Linked DNA regions of Xenopus tropicalis. The protein of the gene in region 1 binds, or shares a complex with, the protein of each later gene. Links are inferred from orthologs where the notes say so. Each region holds a gene or a part of one and is shown in the gene's direction. Other genes may lie near its edges. The genes, in order: vps54 and vps52.

The links.
Region 2: vps54 (region 1) and vps52 share a complex: the UniProt entries of both Homo sapiens proteins name them as parts of the golgi-associated retrograde protein (GARP) complex. The link is inferred for Xenopus tropicalis from reciprocal best matches to the Homo sapiens genes VPS54 and VPS52.

Annotation. Positions count from the first base shown.
Region 1 is NC_030681.2:32,637,317-32,648,879, forward strand, and holds part of vps54 (vacuolar protein sorting-associated protein 54), read left to right. Parts: intron 1-2,284; coding exon 2,285-2,381; intron 2,382-3,625; coding exon 3,626-3,969; intron 3,970-5,480; coding exon 5,481-5,610; intron 5,611-6,410; coding exon 6,411-6,592; intron 6,593-8,003; coding exon 8,004-8,116; intron 8,117-8,963; coding exon 8,964-9,027; intron 9,028-10,823; coding exon 10,824-10,929; intron 10,930-11,563. UniProt on the Homo sapiens protein: Acts as a component of the GARP complex that is involved in retrograde transport from early and late endosomes to the trans-Golgi network (TGN).
Region 2 is NC_030684.2:72,048,447-72,058,809, reverse strand, and holds the end of vps52 (vacuolar protein sorting-associated protein 52 homolog), read left to right. Parts: intron 1-12; coding exon 13-168; intron 169-872; coding exon 873-991; intron 992-1,586; coding exon 1,587-1,710; intron 1,711-2,917; coding exon 2,918-3,013; intron 3,014-3,523; coding exon 3,524-3,631; intron 3,632-3,888; coding exon 3,889-3,954; intron 3,955-4,040; coding exon 4,041-4,152; intron 4,153-4,238; coding exon 4,239-4,357; intron 4,358-4,438; coding exon 4,439-4,585; 3' UTR 4,586-5,808; downstream 5,809-10,363. Other genes in the region: E3 ubiquitin-protein ligase RING1, read right to left, coding at 7,486-7,587, 10,328-10,363. UniProt on the Homo sapiens protein: Acts as a component of the GARP complex that is involved in retrograde transport from early and late endosomes to the trans-Golgi network (TGN).

The DNA of each region.
Region 1 (11,563 bases):
AACCCTTTAATTTGCCAGGCTAAGGGCACTTTTTGAAAATGTGCTGCTAGGCTTTTGTGTAGAGTAACCTCAGACCTGGAAACGTATGTGCTTAGTTGTTAGCAGGCTGACACTTTGCCTGCTAAAAGCAAAACCCATACTTTGTTTACAGAGTAAGGGTTAACGTATAATCTCACCCATACATTATACTTGGTATACATCATGTTGACTATAATAGAAAATTACACGTTACACTCTGATTTATTCCCGGAAAATATCTTACCTTTTCACAGGGTATAATGTGTTGTTGTCATATATCTGTCTCCCCTTCTCAGGATCCTTCTGATGCTGGGCCCCAACCAGATAAAATGCCTGCTCAGCTGTTTAATGTTAATTCATTTGAATGGAGGATTGACTAAAGCAATCCCGCATGTATAACCTTTTTATAATGGCTGAATGTACAGGTAGTATTGAAAGGAAGGAAAGGTTAAATATAGAAAGAAAATTATTTTGTTCCATGATTCTTCTTAAAAAGAAGGTTAGTGGCATTGAGCACCCCAGAAACTGCCTACAGTTTGTGGGCAACTAGTGTTTGTTGCAAACAAAACATAAAGTAAAAGAGTAAAGTCAATCCAAATATCTTGAAAAGTATTCAGCTTTTTAGATTTCTGCAGGTGTCAGCGTTATTATGTGTTATTTTATTTGTAATAAAAATGCAAATAGCATGTCAGCGGCCCCTTGCACGCAGCATTTTTCACAAAGGGCTGTTTATAATCAACATAAGCAAAAAAAATGCTTATTATCACAACTAATGCCTTCAAGTATGGAAGCAGGTTTTCTAAAGTGTCAGCTCTTGATAAGGTTTATTACTTGTGCTTTCCTTGTCTATGTAATAAAAATGCAAATAATAGAGCAGCCCTTTGCAAAGTGTTTTTCCCAAAGGATATCTCAGAGGGAAAATATTATAGTGTTTGTGTGATGAGCAGAGCCCTCACCCTTTTAGAGTTTAAGCAGTGATTGCTCTTTTATTGCAGAATTTTATTAACCACACAATACAGAACCAAAATTATTCAGAAAATGATATGAACTCTGGGCTGATTAATCTGTAGTGGATAGCCAAAGTTCTAGTTTTGCTAGCAAGGATTTGGCATCTTTGTACATTAAGGGATTTTATTTTAGATGCAACATTAAATCATAAAAAATGTTATCATAAAACTGGACAGTTTGAGAAGCACTTTACTAGAATATCTCACCTGCATCACACAAACATACACACACTTGGGCCAATTACATGAGAAATTTGTTATTCTGTGAGCTTGTTTTTCAAGTGTGGTAGGAGGCCCTTCCAAACGTGCAAACTCTTTTCCATGGTTGGAACAGAAGTAGAATCATATAGAGGGGGATACTTTCAAGTGGATCTGTTCAAATTAGACCGTGAGATTAGGTGCACTGCCAAGAGCCTTCCTCAGAGGGATCTCATATACCAAAATAGGTGTAAGGCAGGCAGGTGATGTGGTTGGAATTGAACTCGGTACCCCAGTACTAGCTGTACTAGCCATAGTAAAGGCAATGCTCTCTGAAACATTTATCTTTGAAGGAAGAGCAATCACCCTGTAAATTTATTTAAAGTAACAGGAAAGTATCTATTAAGGGACCCATGCATGCTGTGGCAGCGCTGCATGTATTTGTATTTAGCTATTTTGCACATGTTAATAGTACAGGTGAGAGGAAAAAAAGGTGCAACAAAATTTTGGAATTGGGAGCTTTTCCTGTCTATGCAAATAGTTTTACCTTCTGGTGGTGCGACTCCCTGACCCTAAGGCCACGTCAGTCAGTGTAGTTCAGTGATCCCCAACCAGTGGTTCAGCAACATGTTGCTCACCAACTCCTTGGATGTTGCTTCCAGTGCCCCCAAACCAGGTGTTTATTTTTAATTCCTGACTTGGGGGCAAGTTTTGGTTGCATAAAAACAAGATGTACTACCAAACAAAGCCTCCTTTAAGCTGATAGTGTGCATAGAGGCTACTAAATAGCCAATCACAGCCCTTATTTGGCACCCCCATAATTTTTTATGATGTTTCTGTAGCTCCCCAAGTCTTTTTACATTTGACTGTGGCTCGCGAGTTAGAAAGGTTGGGGATCCCAGATATAGATAAAGGGAGCTCTGCACACACCAATAATTGCTGCTATGTTAGCTTTATTATACCATACCAAATAGAAGTCATTTGTACAGCAAATATTGGGGAGAGAAAGGAGGTCCATGCTAACTATTTACCTCTTTTTTTTTTTAATTTTCTGCTTCCAGGCTTACTGATCAGATTCGGATGATGAATTTTTCTCAGTGGTTTGGCTTGCTTCAGAATATTTTTTCTAAGTTTACAATTTTTATTGAGAGAGTTAAGGTAAGTGGGAAAAAAAATACATGTGATGGCATCTTATTTGTCCATAACACTCGTCTGCGGATTTTTTTTAGACATATGGGATTTGCTAAATTGGTTGCTTCAGCCAAGATGTTTCCCCAGATTGACATCATGCATTACTTTTAAAAGTCTCCCCAATGCAGAGTTGCTCAGCGGGGTTGGCGGGCAGCGCTTCAGACCCTCTTCTGTCAGATTGGCAACACTTTGCATGCAGGAGCATTCAACTGTTCATGCAACTGTTCGCCCCACAACAAATTTTCATTGCCTTGGGCGACTAATCTCCCCTCAATGCCATCCCCCCGGCAAGAATGTAAATCGCCAGTGGGATGGTATACGCGTTGCTACGATTTCCGAAGTTTCCTCTCAAGGCAACGCATATGCCATCCCACTGGCAATTTACATTCTTGCCGGTGGGATGGCATTGCGGGGAGATTAGTCGCCCGCAGCAACGAAGATTTGTTGTGGTGCGACTAATCTCCCCGTCTGCCTCTGTCCTTAGCTGCTGACCTCTGACAGAAGAGGATCTGAAGTGGCACAAATGGGTGCCTGTCAGGTACGAAGATAGAGGCCCTTTGGCAGTAAAAGGTGGTGCGGGGGTTGGGGCAGGGTTTTGTTCTCCTTCAGCCAAAGAAAAGCCACTTTCAGCAATAAAGCCACTTTTAAACACTCGTATACATGTTCTGTATACAGACTGTAACCTATAGTGATAGAAGAACTAAAGCTCAACAAATAATAAAAGCCAGAAATGCAAAATCTGTGCCTTTAGAAATGCCTCCCCATCTTATTTTGTGCAGCCACTGCACATGTACTGGGCTACACTTAGTTGCCTGAGCTTATGAATAATATCATTCATTGCAGTGTGCATCAGAATTGATTAATAACCATCAGCATCCATGACACATGCAGCCTCTCCTCTGCTGATGTTTCAATGATTTCCAACAACCCCTAAGCTGTTGATCACGGGCACTGAAAAGATGGCATAAAAAGTTTCAGAATAAGGGGGGTTGATGTGACCAACATTACAGGCATTGATCATAATTGTTAAAGGGCTGTTAAACCTCAGGACATGCAGAGTAAGATTAAATACTGTAAATGTAACCCTTCAGGGAGATGCTGTACAGTTTCCCTTTCTGTTCTTAAAGCTTTGCTATATCTTCTGTTCTCATTTAATTTGCTGCAAGTGGTACAGACTTTATTTAGTATAACGGCTATTTCTTTCCCTGCAGGCAACGCTAAGCGTCATCCGTAATGTAGTGCTCATGGTTTTAGACAAAAATCAGCGGGTGAGGGAAATGGAAATGTTGGCAGCTCAACAGAATCTCAGAAGAGAAAGCAATGTGGACAATGAATTGGCGTACTTGACTCATGAAGGCTTATTTATAAGTGATGCTTTCGGTGAAGGTGAGCTTCCCAATGCTGCTACCAGCACTAACTTTCAAAGGAACACATCACCCAGCAGTAGCGAGCCCTCTGGCAGCGATACAGTATCTGATCCTGAGTGTACCACAGACTCTTCTTCCAGCAAAGAACACACACTGCCTTCTGTTACCCAAGGGGGAATAGAAATAATGTGAGTAAAACTAGACTTTATAAACTTAACCTGTGAACCAACACTGTACACTGTGCCTTGTTCAGGGAGCTGTGCCATATGGATGATATTAAGATGAGCATACCAGTGTGCCGATCAATTAATTTACCTTTTTATGGCAAAGAGCACAGAGTAACACATTTTTACTCCTTGTACCTTATGTACTGAGCATTTAGGTTGTAGACAAAGTAGTCGCCACCACTGTTTTGGATATAGCCTGAAGGCTTTTATAGGTGTTGTATTACAGGTATGGAAACTGTTATCCGGAGAGCCCTTATCCAGAAAGCTCTGAATTACAGAAAGCCTGTCTCCCATAGACTCCATTATAATGAAATAATTCAGATTTTTAAAACTGATTCCAATGGGTCCTATACCTGTACATCCTTTTTGAAAAATATATAACATATTCTATTATGCATTTGTTTCAGATCTCTTTTAACAGATTCAAACAAATGGCTGAAATGATAGATTATATAATAGATAAATAGAAAAAAAAAAACAAGTAACACATTCTCTTTAGTCACCAATCCCCATATTTTATATAGACCTTCAATAGAAGTCCTGACACTATGGGGAATTTAGGGAAAGTATAGATGCCCCTCTTGCTGCAATACAGTCCATAAGCTCATTTGGACATGCCAAAGGCAGAGTAATTAAAAGGAACAAAATACTCCCTTTTTTGACATAAGTTGGGTTTATGTCTGCATTCCAGGGAATCTGTGCCCTGCCCTGCTTGGAAAGCAGAGGGACTTTAAGTTCAAGAATCTGTCACTTCCTAATGGAACACAATGACCCCTAAGGGTGGTGTTGAATTGAGTCTTGCTAGTCAGGCAAAATATCATGGTTTCCTCAGTCTGAGAAATCAGGTATGTCTGTATACAAAAAAAGTATATTTATATCTGACATTTCAAAAAACCATGCAAAGACTATATGCTTATTTATAAGTTTAGCCCATGCTTATTTAGTTATTACCTATATGAGCGAAGTTATATAGGCAATAGTATTTAACTACCCCCTCTTTTGGTCTTTGAGAAACAGTCCAATAAAATTGCCACATAATTCACAATCTCACATATGTAATAAAAGGCACTAAGTTTGCCCAGGAGCAGTAACCCATAGCAACCTATAAGATGTTTGCTTGTAAACAGGTGACCAGTAAATGCTACCCTCTGATTGGTTGCTATGTGTTACTACTCATGGGCAAACTTATTGCTTTTTATTACATAACCACAAATGACTTCAAATCTGTACATGACTGATATAGGGGGGTGGGATTGCATGTTAGATTTGCTGAGCTCCTATATTTTTAATCACTTCTCTATGGTTCTGTGCACATCTGTAGAATGTTCAGAAGGGTAGTTCACCATTAAAGTGTTATTGTGATGTGGAAAGTGGTATTCTCCAGTTAATTTCATAAGCTCCCTTGTCGATATCTAGATGACTTTTGTGTGTGCAGTAAGGTGACCCCCGAACAATGATTTTTTTTTTTTTAGTCTAACTGAAGAAATGAAGTTAACTGACCTGGAACTTGGTAAAATTGCCAACAGTATACAGGAGTTACTGTATGATGCCTCTGACATCTGCCATGACCGCTGCGTCAAGTTCCTGCTAGCGAGGGCCAAGGTAAATAACAAGCCTCTGTTTTATTACTAGGATGTACTTCACTTCATATCTGCCAAGGCTTTGTTGTAAGTGAACGTTTCTGCCTGGATGGCGTTTGGCATAACTAGATATTACTGGGCTCCACAGCAGATTCAATTTAGTGTCCAAAACATTTGTATGTTGGCCTATTCTATAGCTTATTATTTACTACAATAAAACATTTGTAGTTGTCTACAAGCAGAGCATAATATTATGGACTTCAAAACATGTTCTCAATTTAACAATATTATTAACATTTGTTTAATCTCACATATGTAATATGTGTATATATATGTATGTATGTATGTATGTATGTATGTATGTATGTATATATGTATATACAGCCGATCAGCAGAACAATGGGAAGGTAGCAAGATAGCAGCTCCCAGTAGGTATCAGAATAGCTTTCCATATTAAGAAATCCAAGTCTGGCTTGGGGTTCCTTCAGTTATATGGGAGTAGGAGAAACAATAGGTTACCTGAAAGCAGTTCTAATGTGTAGTGCTGGCTCCTTCTGAAAGCTCAGACTCAGGCACAATGCACTGAGATGGCACCTACACACCAATATTACAACTAAAAAATATACATTTGTTGGTTCAAGAATAACATTTTAAATGATAGAGTGAATTATTTGCTATGTAAACAGTGTAATTTAGAAATAAAAAGTATATCATAATAATCATGACAATCCCTTTAATGTTACTGGTAGTTGTTAGGCTTCCCTTTTGAGCTTAACTCTGTATCTCCATTTCATGATATTCTCAATTTGTTTTCCTTATCAGGAAGGGTTTCTTGAGAAGCTAAACTCTGCTGAATTTGTGTCCCTCTCACGGGCAGTGGAAGCATTCGTTTTGGGTACTGAAAAGATCTGTGGCCGAAGGAGCATGTCACTGAGAGGGGCACTGCAAAGCCAAGCCAACAAATTTGTAAATCGGTTCCATGATGAAAGAAAAACCAAACTGAGGTAAAGAGCAACCACTAACACAGTGTGCCATGTAGTATCCGTTTTTTCTCTCTATTTTATTGATCTGTAGGATAAATACACTGCAATTAAAAACACTGTGCAAATGGGAAACTTGAGGCTGCTGGTGCAAGCAGTGCTTTTTAGATATTGAACAAAATCATGATTTGAATTGGAAATGTGAATACACCAAAACTAGAACTTTTCAGCAGGAAGACTCTTACATTCTGTACTGGCACTTTCAGGCTTTTTCCATTCAGTGACAGCCTAGTCTGTTAAAGAAGACCTAAACTCTATATAAATTCACCTATTTACTCATAAGGGGTAAATTACATTACTGTGAAATGCTATTACGAGAGTGCTATGGGACCCAAGAGTATGCCCCTTAATCCTTACCCTAGCAGGCAACTTTCACCTGGGTTAAGCTGCACTCTGTTCCTTGTGCAAGTTTGGGGGCAGATGGGTGGATGCCTATGTGCCACCCCAATTCCTGACTCTCACCAATACAGGAATGGCCAGAGAGGAATGGCAACTCCTGAATGGAGCACAGAGGCCTGTAGCAATTTACACAATGCAGAGCACAGTGTGCAAAGTGCAAAAAAAAATTCAGATATCTCAGAAACAACTAAAATAGAAAAATAATGTATGGTGCAAAAGTGCTCAGAGATGCACCCTGATGAAGTTTACATAAATGTATTTTCTGGGTTTAGATTCTCAGATATCTTGAGTTTGGACATGTTATTGGCAAATCCCTCTTGGGAACCATCCTCTCATTGAGGAGGAGGTCAGCAACTATTGTGCAAAAAATTCTTCAGCTCCTACTTGCAGTGGTGCTATGTACCTTGGCCTCTGTTTGTCATGCTATTTCATATTACAGGTATGGGATCCTTATCTGTAAACATTTTAATCAAATAATTCAGAATTTTAAAACTGATTCCCCTTTTCTCTGTAATAATAAAACAGTACCTTGTAATTGATCCCAACTAAGATATAAATAATCCTTACTGGATTCAAAACAATCCTATAGGGTTTAATTAATGTTTTATTGATTTTTTTAGTAGACCTAAGGTATGGAGATCCAAATTACGGAAAGACCCCTTATCCGGAATACCCTTGGTCCCGAGCATTCTGGATAACGGGTCCTATACCTGTACCACAAATCGTTAATTGATTGACTAAAAACAACAGAACATTTTTGGATCCCCTCTACTGGTTGCTCTGTGGATATTTTGAAGACCCTGCCTTAATACTGGGTTAATTAGGACAGGTTTGGGGACCTATACTATAGTATATGTACAATTCTAGGTTGGGAGAGAATTCATTACACAAAACAAGAATGGTGCTAGCGTTCCACATTACCCTAAGAATAGTAAAGCTGGATATGTTCTAAAGTAACACTTTTCTCCCCTTATAGCCTCCTGCTTGATAATGAACGCTGGAAACAAGCTGATGTCCCTGCTGAATTTCAGGACTTAGTAGATTCTATAAAGGACGGTAAAATAGTGCTTCCTGAGCGAAAATCTGGAGGTACGTTTGTTTCCTTGAACTCGGCATATCTGTACTGCACAACTAGTTTAAAGAATAAAAATGTTTTAATATTTGTTTTACTAAAGGAGAAATTAAATCTTAAAAGGGGTCTTTTTGTTCCACATACAGAATGTGGTTGTTTGGCTCTGTGGCACAATCCATTATTTTTTCACTGAATAGCACATACATCATTACTTGTAGAGCCTTGGTGAAGATGGTGCCAGTCTATTCATGGATAGAATCCTAGTTTGCATAGAGCTGCATAAAGCTAGCCATATGAGTGCTGATTCTTATACAGTCCCATTTCTGAGCATATGGACTGAAAACTGATATGGGCTTTTGCTCCACACATTTATCCACTACGTTCTATAGGAGAAGAGCTAATTACAGGGCTTTTACGCAGAATTTTCTGTTGGTGCTGACAGTTTTGGTACAGCCATGCTTGAGCTTGGCACTCTATATTCACACAAAGCCTGCAATTTTTCAAAATCATTATTATGAAGTTGGATTTTGTGAACTAAATGCTTTTTATGTGTGCTTTATGTTTTCCTTTTACTGTTATTATTAAATTAAATTATTGAAGCCATCATTTTAGAAAACAAATGGGATAGAAAAGTTTGCTGTTTTTGTTATCCTATGTCAGTTACCTGCTGCCATGTTCTTCAGCGATATACACACTGGTACAGTGGGGTCCTTCTTCTCTAGAGCGTACAGACTTTACCTGCCTAAATGAATAAGGCCAAATGTAGTGTTTTTCTGCTAAACCCAAACTTCTCCATCAGACTGTCATCGTTAAAATACTGTTCCTTTGCAGCAAATGTTTTTAACCAATTCTTTTTTTCATCAGGTACAGAAGAAAGGAAACCCACAGATTTTCTTACAGTGGACGGACAGAAGTATGCAGTTGTTGGGTAAGCTGCATTTTTAAAGGAATACTGTCACGGGAAAACCTGTTTTTTTCAAACCGCATCAGTTAATTGTACTGCACCAGCAGAATTTTGCACTTAAGTTCATTTTTTAAAAAAGCAAACAGATTTATTATTTTTACATGGGGCTAGGTTGCCTTACTTTTCCAGCCACAGCCATGTGCTCTGATAAACTTCAGTCTCTCTAATGCTGCGCTGCAATTGGAGTGATATTAACCCCCTTCATTTTACCCCTCAGCAGCCATTTAGCTAAACAAGATAGCATAGTGCTTCCCTGGGCTATTAGCACTGCTGCCACTGTCCTGAATTTTAGTGAGTGGGTAAACAGGCAAAACTGCCTATACTGCCTCCCAGTGATTTAGGGCTTTATATTTATATATATATATATATATATATATATATATATATATATATATATATATATACATACATACATACATACATACATACATACATACATACATACATATATATATATATACATATATATATATATACATATATATATATATACATACATATATATATATACATACATATATATATATACATACATATATATATATATATATATATATACACCCATATACACCCATATACACCCATATACACCCATATACACCCATATACACCCATATACACCCATATACACCCATATACACCCATATACACACATATACACACATATACACACATATACACATATACACACATATATACATACATACATATACACACACACACACTCCCTCACGCTATGCACTTGTAAACAATGGTACATTGACTTCTGTGAACAATAACTCCAGATCCTAAATACATTATACAGTAAGAGGCAGAGTCCCAAATACTGAATACAGTGAGAAATACTTGATACAGTGAATACTGTATACAGTGAATACTTTAGCCCAAATACATTAAGCCCCATATAGATTAAATACAATGTGAGGAAATGATTTCTGACACCTCAGACCCCCTCTTACCCTTCCAAAAAGCAGGTATCCTGAAGGCTGGATAAGATTTCAGCATTGGGGAAACCAAATGAATTCTGGAATGGTTTGCATTACTAAATGTGGTTTCATGCCCCATCTAGTGGTAGATATGAGAATAGCACCCAGGCAGGAGAAATCCTATATTCAACTTGGGTCATATTCATAGTACATTGAGTTGGGAGAAACAATCGTTTATCTAAAAGCAGTTCTAATGTGGCTCCTTCTGAAAGCTCGGAATTTGGCACAATGCACTGAGATGGTGCCTACACACCAATATTACAGCTAAAAAATTTATTTTCCTGGTTCAAGAATAAAATTTTAATTGTAAATGTTAAAGTGGATTATTTGCAATGTAAACAGTGTCTTTTAGAAATAAAAAGTACACGATAAAAATGATGGTAGAATCCTTTTAAGGTGTAAAACAGTGATCCCCAACCAGTGGCTCAGGGGCAACATGTTACTCACCAACCCCTTGGATGTTGCCCCCAATGGCCATAAGCAGGTGCTTATTTTTGAATTCCTGGTAAGGAGGCAAGTTTTGGAGGCATAAAAACCCAATATAATGCCAAACAGAGCCTTCTATTGGCTGCCAGTCCCCATAGGGGCAATTAAATAACCAATTATAGCTCTTCTTAGCACCATCAGGAACCTTTTTCATACTTGTGTTGCTCCCCAACACTTTTGATTTAAATGTGGCTCATGGGTATAAACGGTTGGGGATCCCTGGTGTACAATGTGTGTAAATCAGATTATTGTCATTTAGCACTAATGCACCCCTTGTATGTCTTGCAGCACAGTGCTACTTTTGATCAGAATCATTCTCGAGTACTGCAGCTGCGTAGATGATATCCCCTCTGTAACTACAGACATGTTGACTCGGCTGTCTGATCTTTTAAAGGTACCCTGTCAGTTTTATTGCTGCTCAGTGTCATGCTTACAAAATTCTGTATGAAATCTGTTGATTAAATATATTACAATAGATGTTCCTCTCGTTACCATAACAAAGGTACATAAAGCTCTTTAATGACTAAACCTGCTGCTCGCATTACCATTGTAACATCCATGCATTTAATGTACCGTTCTTGCTGTGGGCTTTAAAGGAGAAGGGGAAAGAAAGCAAATTATTGGAATCGGGGGGCAAGTAGAATGAGCAGGGAGTGGTTTATATTGTTTAGGAAGAATAGTGGTTTATATTGTTTAGGAAAAATATACATGAGTAATTATTTGCTGAGCTTTAAACATCCAGCTTTGTGTTTTCTAAAGATCCTCCTTTTCAAACTCTGTAACAATCATATAGGGCTATGCAGAGAGTGGAAATAAAAGGCTGGAAAAAAGAAATACAGAATATGTGAGAGGGAGCGGATATTGTGTATGAATTGTGTATTACCTTCTATCTGAAAGTAGCAGATGTGGCTGATTTCCTGCATAGCTGGACAGGCAAATAGATCCTTAGATTTCCCTATTATAGCACACATTATTTGAAAAGGGTTGTTTGCATCAGAAATATTAAGTATCTAGATTTGATGTACTTT
Region 2 (10,363 bases), on another chromosome or scaffold:
TTAATCTCCCAGTATCCATTTGAGTCCTTATTTCGCAGCCAACACTATGCACTCCTTGATAACAGTTGTCGGGAATTCCTCTTCTTATCAGAGTTCTTTCTGGTAAATGGGGCAGCGGCTCAGGAGCTGTTTAACTCTGTAATGGGGCGAAGCCTTGCCATGTTCCTGGTGAGTGGCCACTGATCATCTTACAGATTTATTAGCTAGAATACAAAAGGAAATATGTGGTTTTAGCTGTGCTCCTGGTCAGAACCATTTCTATGCATCTGTATGTATGTATAATCAAAGAACAATGATCAGCTCAACACATGCTAATAGCTTGGCCTTTTATTGTGATGACTGATCACTTATGTACAATTACAGTGTAATTATACATAATTAACCTACATATAAACACAAAGCACAGGAAACATGTTTCTGATTCACCAAAATAGGAAGCAGCTGCTGTGTCCTATGGGAGGCTTCCAAAATCATGCCCAGAAGGATCAAAGTCATACAGGTTTTCCTGCCGCTTACGATCGTTCGGACACGAAAATTTTGTGACTTTCAGATCGCCAATACGATATTATCGTACCTAATACAATTTTTTCATAAGAATTTTCGTGACATTTGCGATCATCAGAAATTATCGTATCTAATCCGAATTTTACCCATTTTGGGATTCTAACTCATACTTTGATGAATCAGCCCCAAGAGTATGAGTTCTGTAATATGTGGGGCACACATTTCCTTTCCCTTTATTCTAATATTTTGAAAAAGCCCCCAGTAGTCAATATTGTCAACATTCAAAACAAAACAAAAACTATATGTAATATAAACAATGAACTTTATGTTCTGTTGCTTTTCACATCTTATATGTGTCTGTCCCCCAGAAACATATTGATTCCTATGTATCGGACTGCTATGACAGCATTGCTATCTTCCTCTGCATTCACATTGTACTGAGATTCAAAGGAATCGCTCAGAGAAGAGACATCCCTGCTGTGGACAAGTAAGAAATTAATATTTTAAAGCATACAGAACAGGGACAACATATGAACAGAAAGAAGCTGGGAAAGGCAGTCACACAGATAATACTGCCTCTGTTTGTTGTTCCTCAGTCAATGCTTAGCTTGTAAACACCACTGCTGGCTAGAGGGCCATGATGCAATCTACAACACCTCAATAGTTTAGCTCAGTCTACAGACTACTTGACTTTTTTTAGAGATCCATATCTGTGTCCCTTGCATGTGTACAGAGAAATTTTAATTACAACCAACTACCCTGGAGTTAGTAACTCGACTGGGTAAGGGGTGGGGGTGAGGCCTAGTGGTTCTCTGACATGCTGCTAGCATTTAATATATGTTTGCCTGTTGGACAGGCATTGGATAATCTAAATTCTATTGGATTGTAATTAAGTTATAGTCATGGTGGCACAATTATGCTAAGAGATTCTAGCTCTTCTATACATAGAGATTATGTTTATGCTGATGCTGGATTATATTTCTGTGTATGTTAAGAAGACAGTCTTGATACTTTTTAATAGTGTATATATGTGCTATAATAGGACACTATTTTTATATATTGTCTTCATTAATATTCTGCAGATACTGGGATGCCCTTCTGGACATGCTGTGGCCCAGGTTTCAGCTTATCCTAGAATTAAACATTCAAAGTATTCGAAACACAGATCCACAAAGGCTGGGCACTGTTGATACAAGGCCGCACTATGTAAGCAGTAAACATCTGCCTATCTCAGGAAAAGTCTTGATAAATTTACTGGGTGTAGTAACACAAATACATCATACTATGCAGAAGTTTAGGGGTTGTCAGAAAATATTAGCAGAAAGTGGTGTAAAATCTGTTGTAGAAGCTGATGCAATACTGGGCTGATTACTAATCATTTTAATGCAGAATGCTGTAGTTTATGTGCTGCCATGTAAAGTGGTTCTAATGTATTACTGATCAGCCTTGTATCATCAAATTTGTGTTTTGTATATAGATACTGTATATAGTGGGTTGGTCCCTAATCTCAGCCGTGGTTGCCTTGGGCTGCTACGGAAGCCCAAAACATAAAAAGCATTAAAAGGATTCTATCATGATTTTTTTGGAATACTTTTTATTTATAAATGACACTGTTTACATAGCAGATAATTCATTCTACCATTCAAATTTTATTCTTGAACCAACAAATGTATTTTTTTAGCTGTAATGTTGGTGTGTAGGCAGCCATCTCAGTGAATTGTGCCTGAGTCTGAGCTTTCAGAAAGAGCCAGCGCTACATAGAACTGCTTTAAGATAACTTATTGTTTCTCCTACTCCCATGTAACTGGAGGAGTCCCAAGCCGGACTTGGATTTCTTACTATTGAGTGCTATTCTGATATCTACTGGGAGCTGCTATATTGTTTCCTTCCCATTGTTCTGCTGATCGGCGGCTGGGAGGGAAGTGAGATCACTCCAACTTGCAGCTAAGCAGTAAAGTGTGACTGAAGTTTATCAGAACACAGGTCATATGGCTGTGGCACCCTGGGAAATGAAGAATATGGCTAGCCCCATCTGAAATTTCAAAATAAAATATAAAAAAATGTATTTGCGTTTTTGAAAAACATGGATTTTAAAGTTCCACTCACGACCCAGATGAAAAAATTTACAGTCTGTGTCAATCTTACCCTTTACTGCCAGCTTGTAAACGTTATAATCTGTAGTAGTGAGTTAAAGAGCAAGTGGGAAGGTCAGTTTCACAGTCCATTAGAGGGTTGTCCATGTACTTGGTCACTTGCAAGCTTGACCTCTAAACCACTTTATACTGCACAGCTCACAGATAAACCCGCTGGTGCCACATTTTAGGTACAAAACCTAATTAATTACAGAGAATTATACAACATTACATATGTGTCTAAAAAATAAGCTATGAAAATTGTTTTTTTTTCCTTTTAGATAACCCGTCGTTATGCAGAGTTTTCCTCAGCCATCGTTAGCATAAACCAGACATTTCCAAATGAGAAGACAAATGCCCTGCTTGGACAGTTACAGGTACTAACCTTATATGAAGAGAATTTGGAGAAGGATTATAAAGTGTGATGTGGGATTCAGCCATCCTACACTTTTTTAAGATATAAAGTAAAACCCAGTAGGATTGTTTTACCTCTTATAAGGATTAATTATATCTTAGCTAGGATCAAGTACAAGGTACTGTTTTATTATTACTAAGAAAAAGGAAATCGTTTTTTAAAATGTTAAGTATTTTAGTAAAAAGGTCTACTGTAACTCAGAGCTTTCTGGATAACGGGTTTCCTCATAACAAATCCTATATCTGTACTAGTTATATTTTGGGTTATGTGAAAACGTCATATTTTTTGTACTCTATGAATAGGTAACATCAGTTAACTAAGAAGCTTCTTATGGGCAGTGACAAAGCTCCAGATTTTGAGTATGTGGGGGATATAGTGCTCTAAATGTGACTTGCTAGAGAAATATTAGATTCTACATGAAAAAGCCCTGGAGGTTGCCTATTGGTAGTTTTTCTTTTTGACTTTCTTTTAGGTAGAAGTGGAGAATTTTGTCCTTAGAATGGCAGCAGAGTTCTCATCAAGAAAAGAACAGCTAATTTTCTTAATAAACAACTATGATATGATGCTCAGTGTCCTTATGGTGAGTCCCACTAGTTTGCAACACATTAGATGTTTGTGGCATTTCACATAAGACAAGGTTTAACACTAGCAATGTGTTCATTTCCTATGAAATCTGACTCATCCAATTCAAGTTGGTTTCACATGTAATAAATTAATAACTATACACAGTGAACCTCACACTAGTCTGTAATGTCTATTGGGAGATATTAATCCGACATACAAACAAGCAGAGCTATAGTTCAGATCATTTACAGTTTTTTTCACTGCCATCTCTAGGAACGAGCATCTTCTGACAGCAAAGAAGTGGAAAGTTTTCAACAGCTGCTGACTGCTCGAACACAGGTTTGTAGCCCCTTTGTGTTTGTATTATTACCTTCTACACCATGTATTTCATATTGATTTTGTCCTTGTACTGTTTAAAATGCCAGGAGTTTATTGAAGAGATACTCGCTCCATCATTTGGAGGAATGATTGCATTTGTCAAGGAGTCAGAATCTCTAATTGAGAAGGGACAGCAGGAACGACTCAGAAGTGAAGAGGGTACAGGATGTTTGTATTTTAACAAGTCTTACTATTTGTTTTTATTGTCACTCACTGCATAAAGTAACGGTCTGAATTTCTTGTAGCACGTGTTGCTCAGCTTGTACGGGGGTTCTCATCAACATGGAAACAAGCAGTGGAGAATCTGAGTCAGGATGTTATGAGGTCATTTACCAACTTTAAGAATGGAACTAGCATTATACAAGTAAGGGAATTAGGAAGGGCTATTTAAGAGAGACCTTTATTTGGGTTCTTCCTTTTATTCTAACTCTCTCCATTTTTACAGGGTGCATTAACACAGCTGATCCAGTATTATCACCGCTTCCATAAGATACTCTCCCAGCCGCCACTCAGGAATCTGCCTGTATGCTCAGAATTAATAAACCTGCATCACCTAATGGTTGAGCTCAAAAAACATAAGCCTAATTTCTGAACCCAAGAAGGTAGAAGTAGGAAGTATCATAAAACTGATTCTGTTACCTGTGTATATAACACTAATCTGAGATGCATCAAGTGATGTAAATTTCTTAACAATGAAAGAGCAAGTGCTTTTGCCTTGCTAAGTCAGTAAGATACCTGTACCAACAGGTAAACAGGTAGCTCCACCAAATGTTTGAGTTTAAATATATTTAATGGCATTCTCTTCCTATGCTTAACTATTGCTTGTAAAATCATGCCAGAACTAAATGTATGGGTAAAATAAAGTTTACTACTGGTAACAAATCTTGGATAAATATGTATAGTTTTATGTAGTCTCACAGCATGAAGAAAATGTATAATTTCCTGTGCAGTCATTTGAATGTTATTGCAGCTTATCCATTCCCCGGGGACAGTGAGGTGCTAATGAGCAATAGCTGAAACAGGCCTGTGCAGATTGAGAACACTAGCTTAGCTAGTAGAAAGTACAGGGGTAATACATTCTAAATGCATAGGGGTTTTAATGTAAAATGCCACAACTTAAAGGAAGATGCAGTTGCAAGTCCTTTGTGGACACGATAACACATTCGTTGTAAAGGAGTTATGTTCTTTACTAGAAGCAATAACAGACAAGGGTTCCAAAGTGCTATGGCTACATTTTTATACCTGTATATATATATCTACACACATCTTTGTTTTAAATTATCCACACAGTTTAAGCAAAAATAGATACAAACCAGTATTAAAAGCCACATTTACTAAAATGTTACAAAAGAAAACGTTGCTCTGTGTCAAGAGCAATTAACATACAATACAAAGATTTAGAGTTCCCTCCATCGCTTTCTATTAACATTTAAGTGCAAGTAAGGCTTAAGAGAAACATCTGAGACCCAATTATGTAGCTTATGTTTGAGATAGTTCCAATAAGCCTATAAAGACACCAGAGCACTCTCTCTGCCAGTCAATATGTATGTCACAAGAAAGTCTTGCAGGCTCTTTAAACACAGTATCTAAACGAAGGCTGTTTTACTACACTGGAATGTTACATGCATGTTATCCAATCCCCACTCTAATAATATATCTTTTAAAAGAGTAAGGAAGAGATCTAAAGTACTAGCCCTCCAACAGCTACCTGTATGGATGTCCATACTGAATGTCATTCTTTTAAAAGAGATTAAAGGACATGTCAACCCCAAAAATAATTTTTTGCTTAATTAAAGAAAACTTAATTCTTAGCAACTTTGCAATATACACGCATTACATATTTGCAATGGGTTTCTAGTTATTTGTATGTATATATATATTTGCTATTAAAAGAACTGTCTGCCTGTCCTTTCTATTATCTGCTCTGGTCGCTCTGGCATTTGAAACAATGTAACAAAACACCAGCAGATTTTACAGACCTGACTTGCTGGAGGAGCCCGGCACTTGCAACATTGTTTAAAAAGTAACAACCAGGAGTTCAGCAAATGCTGCTTTCTATAGAAATTACATTTACTAATAACTTTTAATAAGTTGATATTAAAAAGTTGCTTGGAATTATGTTTTCTTTTATTAGGCAAAAAAATTATTTTTTTAGTAGGAATACCCCTTGTTAAACATGGATGCAATGAATAGGGCTTAAGTTTAACATACTTTTTCTCTATTGTTTTTAATATGGTTTTTGCCCCCTGTTCTATACAGGATAACTGAAACTACTTGTTTGGTCCTTGTAAGGTAGCAGATTACCAGTGTAACAGTACCTTCCTTGCCCCTTTTGACTGTTTTGCCAGCAGGAGTCCATTATACAGAGGATTGTTTGTGTGCTAGTAATTTAATTAAATCCCTAGAAGAACCAACCATGGAGCAGCTTCAGTTTTTCTGTTTGTCCTGATTAGATGAAGAATAATAACAGAAACCATACATTTATTTTTGTGAATAAAACAATAGGCAAACAGTGCTGATCTTTGAAATCATATCAAACAAGGGGATATTGGCCGTTTAACTGAGTGGGGAAGGAAAAGGTTTGAGTAACATTTAATAAACACCCAGCAAGGATCATGGCCTATACCCATCTTTCATTTGCAAATATGAAAGTGATATTGCTACTTCACAGAGGAATATTACAGTACTCCCAGACAGTATAATTACATTGACAAAAAAAAAAAAAAAATTTTTTGGCAGAATGTTTAAATATACGGTGTCTATATTTATATTGTGGGGTGCCATGTGGGAAAACCAATGAAAACATATATTATAAATGACAGGGTACAAATAAAATTTGGTGAAATCTGGGTAGAGTTGCATGAAGAGCTTGGTATATTAGACTTATCACTGCAAAGCTGGCAGTTAAGAGGATTAAGAGTGGCAGCTCCAGCCTTAATTCTTTCTTGGATCTGTGCTCCTTGCTGCTTTTGCAGACATCCGGGTGGTATCCTTTTATAGGCATTCTGACGGGTTCTTTTGTTTCTTTAGGATGAACCATACATGCAGTTCCTTTCAGTGTGCTTAGAGAATGTCAGTATATTTCGGCCCCTCTCCAGTTTTGTTTATGAGTACCATTCAGATGTGGGGCTATGCAATGAAAGGGCACTGCTGCCTGGTGCTCGTCAGTGTTTTGGTCATTAGTACCTGCTTAATCCACCAGTTTGGTTCTCAAGATATCAGACAGGGCTTATAATCCATTGAATAATAAGGTGTTGGCTTAGGGATACAAGTTAAATACAACTTTCCATCTTTTAGGGTACTCTGGTATACCTTTAGTTGAAACGGAAGCCACAGCTGCTAAACGCTCTATTAGGATTAGAGGAAAATAAAGCAGCCTCACGCGCCTCCATAACAGGTGGATTCCCTGTGGAATGCTTGGCACAAGCATATAATGCAGAAGTCATTATACAGGCGGCAGCATCTTTAATGTGAGTCATTTCATCCATGAGACTATTTCTGCTCTTTGGTTGGAGCATAATAAAGCTCCAGCGGTTTGCTTACCTTCCAATACTTTTCATTTACCAGCTCAAGTGTTAAGGAGCCATTCAGGGTCTGATAAAAACAAACAAACAAATGATGAGATACACATTAATGTATGCATAATTATCCACGTATTTTCGAAGTTTGTTTTTAAAAACTTAATGCAAGTAGTTAATAACAGCTGTCAGGAAGCATGAATTTATTCGGGAGAACTAGCTGAACCCATAGATGTTGTGGAATTCTGCCAACAAACACAGCAATTAGGGCAGTTTGGCAGCTCTTTAGGCCACCTAGCCCATAACTGATCTGTGTCCGAGTCCATCGCTTTACGCTGCACTCCAAATAAAGCAAAATGGTTGACTTTTAAACAAAATGAAACAATTACAGTTCTCATTTGTTCCTTCTGAAAACAAAAGTAAAATGTGAGCCAAGCTAATTACCTCAAAATGAAGCAGTAAATATAGATCTAGGATATAAAAGTTAAAGGAGAAGGCTAAGTCACTTGGGGGTGCCAAAATGCCTTTTATCCGGGCTGGTGCGGTTCTCCTAACAGGAGCACCAGTCTGGGGTAAAAGGTAAGCGCTTAAAGTCACTTGGGGGTGCCAACATTTTAAAGAAGCCTTTCCTTCTTTAAAGGGGGAAAAGGAAACAATTTGAAACAAGTGCTGTGAAGCAGCAATCAAGCTGTTAAATTATAAATGTGGTAAACAAAATCATCCCCACCTTACATACTGACGTTTGTATGTATGTATGTATGTATGTATGTATTATACAGCACCACAGGGCACAATCACAAATGGGAATATATACTCGAGTATAAGCCTAGTTTTTCAGCACCCAAAATGTGCTGAAAAAGTCACCCTAAGCTTATACTCGAGTCGGGTGCAATGGGTCCCTACAGACTAGCACCCTCTGTCCTTTGTGTCCAAATTAGGCCACCTGCAACCAGACCCTCCAGTGTCTGGCCTGCTCCCAAATTCATCTTCATCTACTGTCCCATTCCGCACTAGACATTGCACTTTATATTCTATATAAACCATAGTTTTGAAAGATTTTAACTCTTTGTGTTTTAGCTTGGTTGCTGATTGAGCTAAGGGGGGTAGTACTCTTAAGGTATCATTGTTGACACCATATTGTTTTTGTTGACCTTCTTCTCCACTTACAGAGCTAGTTTACTGGTTTTTCTTTGAAATAAATATTTAAAGGCATATGCCCCACTGATGCCTCATTTAATGTAATTTTATTGGTATTTATTTTGATTGAAACTTAGCAGTAGCTGCTGCAGTTCCCACCCTAGGCTTATACTCGAGTCAATAAGTTTTTCCAGTTTTCTTAGGTAAAATTAGGTACCTCGGCTTATATTCGAGTATATACGGTATATAGTAAATACCACTGTGCAAAGTTTGGGAACCCTGGTTTTAATAGTGTCTGAATGGCAGCAATTTAAAATTTCCCCATTGAAAGTCAGCGAGTGACATCTGATTGGCGGTCGGTGGCTCCGCTCCTTTTCCTAACCTGGAACTGCAGTTACCCAGTGACTAACTCTGCAAAGTTTAGGGACACCAAGATTAATAGTTAAAGAACGGCAGCAGTTTCAATTTAAACCAATAAAAGTCAATAGGTAAATTGTGATTGGTGGGTGTGCCCGCTTTTTCTAACCGAAGTCACCCAGTGACAAACAGTGGGCACCCTGGCATAAATAGTGAGAGAATAACAGCATTTTAAATTTAAACCAATAAAATTCAATGGATTAAATCTGATTGGCTGTTAGTGGCCCAACCCACTTATCCTATTTTTGAACTGCAGTCCCCCAGGGACCAACTGTGAAAAGTTTGGGGACCCTGACATTAAACATGTGAGAATGGCAGCAGTTAAAATTTCCCCACTGAAAACAATTAAAGAAATGTGATTGGAATTTGGCGGCCCCGCCCATATTTTCTAACGTAGTCACCCAGTGGCTGACTGTGCAAAGTTTGGGAACTTTGGCATCAAACCAAAAAAAGTCAATAGGTGAAATCTGATTAGCAGTTGGTGGCTCTGCCCACTTTTCAAAACTAAAACTGCAGTCCCCTAATGACTGACTGAAAAGTTTGGGGACCCTGGTGTTAATACTGTGAGAATGGCAGCAGGTTGACTTTCCCCATTAAAAGTCAATAGGTTAAGTCTGATTGGCACTTTTTCTAACCTTGAACTGCAGTTACCTGGTTCCTAACCCTACAAAGTTTGGGGACCATGTTGTTATTACTGTGAGAATGGCAGTAGGTTAAATTTCCGCCAAGTCAATAGGCTGTTCACAGCTCCACCCACTTTTGGGCATCCAACAATCATTATATTTCCATTCAGGCTGACCTCATGACTATGGGGTTCAAGTTTTCTTTTTCCTTAAAGAAACAATGCAAAACTGAACAATCCTGATTTGCCTCTTACTCATTTCAGCTTGGGTAAATCTTGTAATAATGCGTTAGAATTTCAGACACGGATAAGAGAATCTGAAAACAAGTTTCTTCTGGCCTTTGTTTCTAACATACAGTAAAGTTCAATACAACAGGTGGGTAAAGCACCAGTAGTGCCCTGGGCAGTGCAGTACGGACCCACTCCAGTTCCATCACCAACCCAAGCAAACTCCATCCCCCCCCCCTCCTTCCCATTTGGGAACTTTGGGCCCTTGGTAACCAGATAAAATGTATGATAAGAAAATCCAAAATATATTTACCAACCACATAAAAAATACAAATGTTTATAATACTCAACATGTCAGTAAGTGGGGCCTTTTATTTTCTTATACACGAATGCATATTATATATATACTCACAGTATACTGTCCACCTGCAGCCCCTGTAGAGATGTA